Linked DNA regions of Canis lupus familiaris. The main gene of each other region encodes a partner of the protein of the gene in region 2 in a complex. Links are inferred from orthologs where the notes say so. Each region holds a gene or a part of one and is shown on either strand. Other genes may lie near its edges.

The links. The genes of interacting proteins can lie anywhere in the genome.
Region 1: ARID1A (region 2) and PHF10 share a complex: the UniProt entries of both Homo sapiens proteins name them as parts of the neural progenitors-specific chromatin remodeling complex. The link is inferred for Canis lupus familiaris from reciprocal best matches to the Homo sapiens genes ARID1A and PHF10.

What each region holds. Positions count from the first base shown.
Region 1 is NC_049233.1:72,437,697-72,441,933, reverse strand, and holds the start of PHF10 (PHD finger protein 10), read left to right. Parts: upstream 1-1,437; 5' UTR 1,438-1,446; coding exon 1,447-1,533; intron 1,534-3,688; coding exon 3,689-3,795; intron 3,796-4,237. UniProt on the Homo sapiens protein: Involved in transcription activity regulation by chromatin remodeling. Belongs to the neural progenitors-specific chromatin remodeling complex (npBAF complex) and is required for the proliferation of neural progenitors.
Region 2 is NC_049223.1:72,795,366-72,799,359, reverse strand, and holds the start of ARID1A (AT-rich interactive domain-containing protein 1A), read left to right. Parts: upstream 1-1,194; 5' UTR 1,195-1,209; coding exon 1,210-2,349; intron 2,350-3,994. UniProt on the Homo sapiens protein: Involved in transcriptional activation and repression of select genes by chromatin remodeling (alteration of DNA-nucleosome topology).

The DNA of each region.
Region 1 (4,237 bases), on a different chromosome or scaffold from region 2:
CCCGGGTCTTCGAAGGCTCCCTGCCCACCCGCGAGGACTCCTAGCGTGGGCAGGTGCAGTCTGGGAACTGGGGCTGCGAATTCGGTTCCAGTAAAACTCGTGCCCTCAGGTCGTGTCCCGCACCCCTGCGCGGTGAGGAGCGGGGGTGGCCGCCCGCGCCGCGCAGCCCGAGGCCGCGGGGGTCGGTCCGCTCTACGGAGCACGTTCCGCGCACATTCCCCGCGCGCGGGCTGGTCCCAGCCGGGTCACGCCGTCGGACGGCGGGCGGCGGGGAGCCCGGGGCGTCGTTGGCGCGCGCTCGCTCCCCGCAGGTGGCTCGGCAGCCGCGGAGAACAAAGGCGCCCGAGGGGCGGGGGCCCGGCCGAGCGCGAGGAAATGGGCCGGCGCCGCCACAGCCCCCCGCCGCTGGGCGCTCCGGGCGGCGCCGGGACGCGGGGACCCCGGGCGGGGGGCGGGGGCGGGCCCCTGGACCCAGGGCGTGTCGGCGGAGACCCCCGGGAGACGGGGGCGGGGGGCCCAGGGCTCGGGGAGGGGCGGGGGGGGGAGGGGGCGGCGGGGACCCCGGGGCGGGGGCGGGGCGGCGCGGGCGCGGTGGGAGGAGAGGGCTGACGCGCGGCGGGGCCGGGCCGGGGGCGCGGGGAGGGGGCGGCAGCGAGCGCGCCAAGTGGCGGCGGGCCGGGGCGGGGCTGGGGGCTGAGGGGACGGCGGGAGGTGGGGCCGCGGAGCGCGCCGGGCTGCGGCGGGCCGGGAGGTGGGGTGGCGGCGGCGGCGGCGGCGGCCGGGCGGCGGGGCGGGAGCGGCTGAGGGCCGGGCGGCGGGGACCGAGGGCCGGGCGGCGGGGGCCGAGGGCCGGGCGGCGGGGGCCGAGGGTCGGGCGGCGGGGGCCGAGGGCCGGGCGGCGGGGGCCGAGGGCCGGGCGGCGGGGACCGAGGGCCGGGCGGCGGGGGCTGAGGGCCGGGCAGTGGGGGCTGAGGGCCGGGCGGCGAGGCTGAGGGCCGGGCAGCGGGGGCTGAGGGCCGGGCGGCGAGGCCGAGGGCCGGGCAGCGGGGGCTGAGGGCCGAGCGGCGAGGCTGAGGGCCGGGCGGCTGAGGGCCGGCGGCCGGGCGGGGGCGCGGGGCAACGGGGCGCGGGGCGAGCCGAGGCCGGGGGCCGGCGCCGCAGCGGGGCGGGCGGCGGGGCTGACGCGCGCGGGCGGCCGGCGGCCTCCTTCCGCCCCCTGAGCCGCGGCGCCCGGGAGGCGCGCTGGCGGCGGCCATGGCGGTGGCGGCGGCGCTGGCGGGCCGCGGGGCGCGCGGAGGCAGGGGCCGGCCCCCGGGCGGCGGGCGGGCGGAGGGGGCGGGGCCCGGGCGGCGGGCGGCCCGCGCGGCGGCGGCGGCGGCGGCGGCGGCGGCGGCCGGGACGAGGCGGCGGCGACGGCGGCGGCGGCGGCGCGGGGCGCTCGGGCTGATGGCGGCGGCGGCCGGGCCCGGGGCGGCGCTGTCCCCGCGGCCGTGCGACAGCGACCCGGCCACCCCCGGAGCGCCGTCCCCGAAGGTGAGGAGCGGGGCCGGGCGGGGCGGGGCGGGGCTCCCGCGGGGGGAGCGGAGGCCGCGGCCGCCGAAGCCCGGGTCCTGGGGCGGCGGGGCGGCCGCGGGGGTTCGGAGCGCGCCTGGCGGCGGCGGCGGCGGGGACACCGGCCCGGGCGGGGCGGGGCGGGCGGGGTGACCCCGGGGCGGCCGGGACCCCGCGTTGCCGCCCCGCAGCCCCGGGAACTTAGTTGGAAACTGGGTCCCGGGGCGGCGGGGGCGGCTGCGCGGGGGGAGCGGCCGCGTGCGGGCAGGCGGGGCTCGGGTCCGGGGGCCCCGGAAGCGGGCGCGGGGGCGCGGGGTCGCGGGGTCGCACCTGCGGCGGGAGCCCACCTGTGGCCGCGGCGGGACGGCCCCCGCGCACCTGTGCGGCCCCCGCCCTCGTCCCAGCGACTGCTCTCAGGACTTTGCAGGTTACCTTTTTTGGGGGTATTTCAACTTTTAAAGCAAAGGAAATATACTTAAACCTAAAAATCCTTAAAATGCTTAGTCGTGAGTAAAACGGCAAAAACCAAAAAACAAACAAACCAAAACAAAACCGTAATACCTGAATTTGCTTATTAAAGGGAGTTGTTCCCGAATCGTATTGTCTCCACTCTGATTCTTACTGTTAAATGCACATTTTTGGAGAATAACATGTATTCTCTTCTCCATCTCCTACCTGGTTGCCTTTCTTAATGGGATTAGGCAGTTTTTTGATGATTATACAGGAGCTACAAAGGACAACCTGCCATACACACACACACACACACACACTATTTGAGAAAGAATCGGAGTCGGTTCCTAGTAGCGGAGCCGTTTGAGACTTTCTGGTTGTCTCGCGGGTTAACTTTTATAGGACACTTCATGACCCGCTAGGCCCTGCTCTGAGCGCTTCCCGCGTGTTTAACTCCTTTAATCCTTGCATTAGCCACGTCATGAGGCCCCGTTATCGCCTCAGTGTTACGAAGAGGAGGCGGCTCAGAGGGCACAGGCTCAGCTGGTGGAGGCCAGCGCCCAGGACGGTGCCAGGCCAGCCTTGTACTCTGCTGGATTGGGTTCGTTTTACCACGTAGCAAGAAGACCATGCTATCTAACAAAATTGTATTCATCTTACGAATCTACATTTAATTGATTTTTTTTTGTTTTAGTTATTTTCGTACGCCTTACGGTCATTAAGCCTTAGCTAGTAATGTGAATAAGTCAATTTGCTAACATCTGATGGCTCACTTATGTTCTGAATGGAATGGCCCAACTAGAGTCTTGGTATTAATGCCTCACCACAGATAATGTCACCTAAAACACTTAAGCCATTCCTCTTTTGGTGGGGATGCGCGTCTCTTGCTGTATCAATTGATGACTCTTACTAGGGAATATTTTTGCTGAATTTTTGCAATGTAAGAAAAAAACTGACAGGGTTGGTAACCTGTTTTTAGTCTTTGCATTTTCTTTTTTCATGGAAATAGAAGTATATAGGACTCCTTTATTTTTTTTTTTTTTTTTTTTTTTAAATTTTTTTTATTTATTTATGATAGGCACACAGTGAGAGAGAGAGAGAGGCAGAGACATAGGCAGAGGGAGAAGCAGGCTCCATGCACCGGGAGCCCGATGTGGGATTCGATCCCGGGTCTCCAGGATCGCGCCCTGGGCCAAAGGCAGGCGCCAAACCGCTGCGCCACCCAGGGATCCCCTATAGGACTCCTTTAGAATAGTCCTATCAACTCCCTAGCAGTTGAGTTAAACAGGAAATGATCTACACGTTTTTTTCCTAACTGGGGTAGGAGGGATTGCTTTAATATTAAGAGTGTTAACAGCAATTTTACATGTTTGTTTTTAAAGTACATGGCATTTTAACTGCAGTTGCTAAGAAAGGAAAAGTAGATTTACATTTACAGGGTAATTGTGATTTTTCTTTTTTTGATTGTATAAAAGATCACTTTTTGATTATTTTTAGATTTTTTTCTCAGGTCTTGCCATGCCAAAATCTTGGCCCTTCTTAGTTATAATAGAAAGTTAACATGTGTATAATCATTTGTCATTAAAGAACCTTTAAGTGGAGCCTTGTAGCAAGTCTGGGAAGATACATAATCATTCTTATTTTTTATTGTTTCTCTTCTTATGTTTTGAATTTTTTGAATGTATAGGATGATAATGAAGATAATTCAAATGATGGGACCCAACCATCCAAAAGGAGGCGAATGGGCTCAGGAGATAGCTCTAGGAGTTGTGAGACTTCAAGTCAAGATCTTGGGTACTGTCATTTTATTGCTTAATAGTAGTTGTGGTGTATTTCTCTCCTCTGCGATACCTCCCTCCTCCCCGGCACTTCAGCTGCCACCTGCACCCTTCCGGAACACTTCACTACTGTGTGGAAAGGTCTTAGCCATGAAGCAGTGACAGTTGCCAATTCCCTCCTTCCCCACGGCTGGCAGCCCCCGTCCCCCTCTCCGTGTGACGTAGGGCACCTCACGTAGGTGGAGTCCTACAGTATTTGCCCTTCCATGTCTGGCCTCTTTCCACATGATTCCTTGAAAGCTCATCCATGTTGTAGCGTATGTCAGAATTTCTCTTCAGGGCTGAACTGTGCTCCGTGGGGGGGACAGAGCAGCTTTCGTATGTCCTTCCCTCTGGGGACGGGCCCGGGTTGTTTCCCGCTTTGGGCTGTTGGGAACAGGGTTGCGGTGACGTAGCTG
Region 2 (3,994 bases):
GAACAATGATCTGTCATTCCGTTGGGCTTGCAAAGGGGATAAAATGTAAGGCCCTGCTCGCTCACTCAGCTGGGTCTTTAAGACCGGGTTTGTAAAAGGCTTTGAAGAAAAGTGCTGTAGAGGTGCTAAGTAGCAGCCAAGAGACCAGGCCCGCTGCCAGGGGGTCAGGCCTGGGCCGAGGCGGCCGCGGTCTCGGGCTCTGGCCAATTTTGCAGCCGCGAGTAAAGTTCACGCTGCCCGCTCCCCTCGGTGCGGCCTGGAGGGGACCGACCCGGATAGGAACGCCAGAAGGGAGGCGGCGCAGGCTCCGAGAGGCGCGGGCTCCGGGCCGGGTTTTCCCCGAAGCCTTCAGCGGCGGCGCTGCCGAGCGAAAGCGGCAGAGGGCCTGCCGCCGCCGCGGCTCGTTCTCTCCCCTCCTCCTTTGTGAGGGGAAGGGAGCGAGTCCGTTCCATGGCCTGCGCCCGCTCCGCGCTCCATTCCGGGTTTGCCAGGCGGCCGCGACGGCGCTGGGTAAAATGGCAGTGCTGAGCCTCGTGTCGGAGTGAGGGGGACTCGGAGGAGAGTGGGGCGCTCTAGCCGCTCAGTCCGGCCGCCCGCCCGCCCGCCAGCCCGCTGCCGCGCAGCAGCCTCGGCCCGCGCCGCGGCCGGGGAGGGGAGGCAGGGCGCCCGGCCCGGCCCGCGCTCCGACTCTGCCTCCCGGCGCCCGGGCTGCTGCCGCGCGCCCTCCAGCCCGCCCGTCCCGGGTCCCCCTCCCCCCGCTCCCTCCCTCCCTCCCTCCCCGCCCCCTCCCCCTCGCCTCCCTCCCTCCCTCCCTCCTCCTTTCTCCGGCAGCAGAAAGCGGAGAGTCACAGCGGGGCCAGGCCCTGGGGAGCGGAGCCTCCACCGCCCCCCTCATTCCCAGGCAAGGGCTTGGGGGGAATGAGCCGGGAGAGCCGGGTCCCGAGCCTACAGAGCCGGGAGCAGCTGAGCCGCCGGCGCCTCGGCCGCCGCCGCCTCCTCCTCCTCCGCCGCCGCCAGCCCGGAGCCTGAGCCGGCGGGGCGGGGGGGAGAGGAGCGAGCGAGCGAGCGCCGCGCAGCAGCGGAGCCCCGCGAGGCCCGCCCGGGCGGGTGGGGAGGGCAGCCCGGGGGACTCGGCCCCGGGGCGGGGTGGGAGGGGGGGAGAAGACGAAGACAGGGCCGGGTCTCTCCGCGGACGAGACAGCGGGGATCATGGCCGCGCAGGTCGCCCCCGCCGCCGCCAGCAGCCTGGGCAACCCGCCGCCGCCGCCCTCGGAGCTGAAGAAAGCGGAGCAGCAGCAGCGGGAGGAGGCGGGGGGCGAGGCGGCGGCGGCGGCAGCGGCCGAGCGCGGGGAAATGAAGGCAGCCGCCGGGCAGGAGAGCGAGGGCCCCGCCGTGGGGCCGCCGCAGCCACTGGGAAAGGAGCTGCAGGACGGGGCCGAGAGCAATGGGGGTGGCGGCGGCGGTGGAGCCGGCGCCGGCGGCGGGCCCGGCGCGGAGCCGGACCTGAAGAACTCGAACGGGAACGCGGGCCCTAGGCCCGCCCTGAACAATAACCTCACGGAGCCGCCCGGCGGCGGCGGCGGCGGCAGCAGCGATGGGGTGGGGGCGCCTCCTCACTCAGCCGCGGCCGCCTTGCCGCCCCCAGCCTACGGCTTCGGGCAACCCTACGGCCGGAGCCCGTCTGCCGTCGCCGCCGCGGCGGCCGCCGTCTTCCACCAACAACATGGCGGACAACAAAGCCCTGGCCTGGCAGCGCTGCAGAGCGGCGGCGGCGGCGGGGGCCTGGAGCCCTACGCGGGGCCCCAGCAGAACTCGCACGACCACGGCTTCCCCAACCACCAGTACAACTCCTACTACCCCAACCGCAGCGCCTACCCCCCGCCCCCCCAGGCCTACGCGCTGAGCTCCCCGAGAGGTGGCACTCCGGGCTCCGGCGCGGCGGCGGCCGCCGGCTCCAAGCCGCCTCCGTCTTCCAGCGCCTCCGCCTCCTCGTCGTCTTCGTCCTTCGCTCAGCAGCGCTTCGGGGCCATGGGGGGAGGCGGCCCCTCAGCGGCCGGCGGGGGAACCCCCCAGCCCACCGCCACCCCCACCCTCAACCAACTGCTCACGTCGCCCAGCTCGGCCCGGGGCTACCAGGGCTACCCCGGGGGCGACTACGGCGGCGGGCCCCAGGACGGGGGCGCCGGCAAGGGCCCGGCGGACATGGCCTCGCAGTGCTGGGGGGCTGCGGCGGCGGCGGCGGCGGCGGCAGCAGCCGCCTCGGGAGGGGCCCAACAAAGGAGCCACCACGCGCCCATGAGCCCCGGGAGCAGCGGCGGCGGGGCGCAGCCGCTCGCCCGGACCCCGCAGGTACACAGCTGAGTGGGGAGGGGGCCGGGGCGAGCGGGGTCCTGGGAGTGGGTGGCGGCTGCGGGGAGCAGGCCACAGCCTTGGGCTACCCCCAGTCCGGGGCCCCCACTGCTGGGGAGCTGCCATTGTCTGGCTCTTCTCTTAAAATGGCTGCCTGTCTGCCTTCCTCTCCTTCCCTCCTTCAGCCTTTGTGTGGGGCTTTCCCTGAGGTGTCTGCTCCCCTTCTCCCTCTCCCCTGGTCCCTTCGCGCTCCTGGGGTCTTCGAGGGGGTGCGGGGCAGAATGTGCGGGGAAGGGCCTGGCCCGGGGTTGAGGGGTGTGTTGGGGGCTCAGGTTGGGGTGTGCAGAGCTAGGAGCTCGGGAGTTGAGTGAACAATTCTTTGCTCACCTGCCGCTCCTCTCTGCCCGCCCTCCTGCCTTCCTCTAGGCCGTTCCCCATCTGTGCTTTCAAGGAGGGGCCCCTCGGGCTCTGGGGTACCTCGGGGGAGGGCAGGGGCCTGCTTGGGGGCAGCTAAAGGCCGGCTGCGGTTCACCCAGGGCAGCCCGGGCCATCTCCTGTCTTAGTCTCCGTCGGCCCAGTGGCCTGGGCTTCTCCCTGGAAGTGCTGGTAAACAGCTGAGTGATTGGAGTAGTAAGTGCAGATTGCTTTGGTTTGGGATTTGAATTATGGAGGTAAAATCCTTCTGTCAAAGCCAGGAGACAGTTGGTCTTAGGTTGACATCCTATCTGTGATCTGATTGGCTCCCCATCTCCTGCTCTTGGCCATTTATAATTGCCTCTGATGTAATGGTACAACAATCCTGATGAGCTCATAAACTTTTACACTCTGCTTTTCTGCCAGTGATAACCCAAACCATCGCTGCCACTATCTGCCTTTTATTCCAGAGCTGAAATTGGCTGTGACCTTGAGGAGGAAGGTTTAAGCAGCAATACTGTATCAGCAGGAGCAGAGCCCCAGACAGGCTGCCCTTGTTACATTGTGCCGAAACAAAAGAGGAGGCAGTGGCATTTTGCTTGTACCTTGGATTTATTTTGCTTGTTATGTTTTATGCAGCCTGAAATAGATTCTGTGTTGTCAGAACAGTAGCTGAGTTTTTCTCTACAATGGGTTTGCTGTTTGTTTTGGTTTTGTGACTTTCCTGGTGGTATAAATGACTTCTTTGATGGCTCTGAAGATGCATTTGTCTTGAGTAATTTTGACCCTGTTCGCGTTGCAGAATTGAGATTATTTTACTGGGATTTTTATTGAGTGACAAATGTGGGATCTTTATGGGAGGGGGTAGAAGAAAACTTTTTTTTTCTTTTTCTTTTTTTTTTTTTTTTTTTTTGAACTGGAAGCTTCCTGAGAGAATTTCATATTACGTTCAAGTGTTCTGTTTTAAGGAAGACTGGCCTCATTCTTTGTTTACATGTTGAATCTTGTTAACTCTTTTGTTAATTGAACTTTGAGAAAGCAGCTCAATTTAAAGAGAAGCCGATATCTTTTATGATCTTGGGAGGGACTTTCTCCTAAAGGCCTGGTTTGGTAAAATTTATCATTTGTTCCTGGGATATCAAAAAGGCTAGTTTTCTGTTTTGTCATCAGTCACTTTAGAGCTTTGAGATAGAGGTCAACTAATTTTTTCTTTGCATTTTAAGGTATGTTC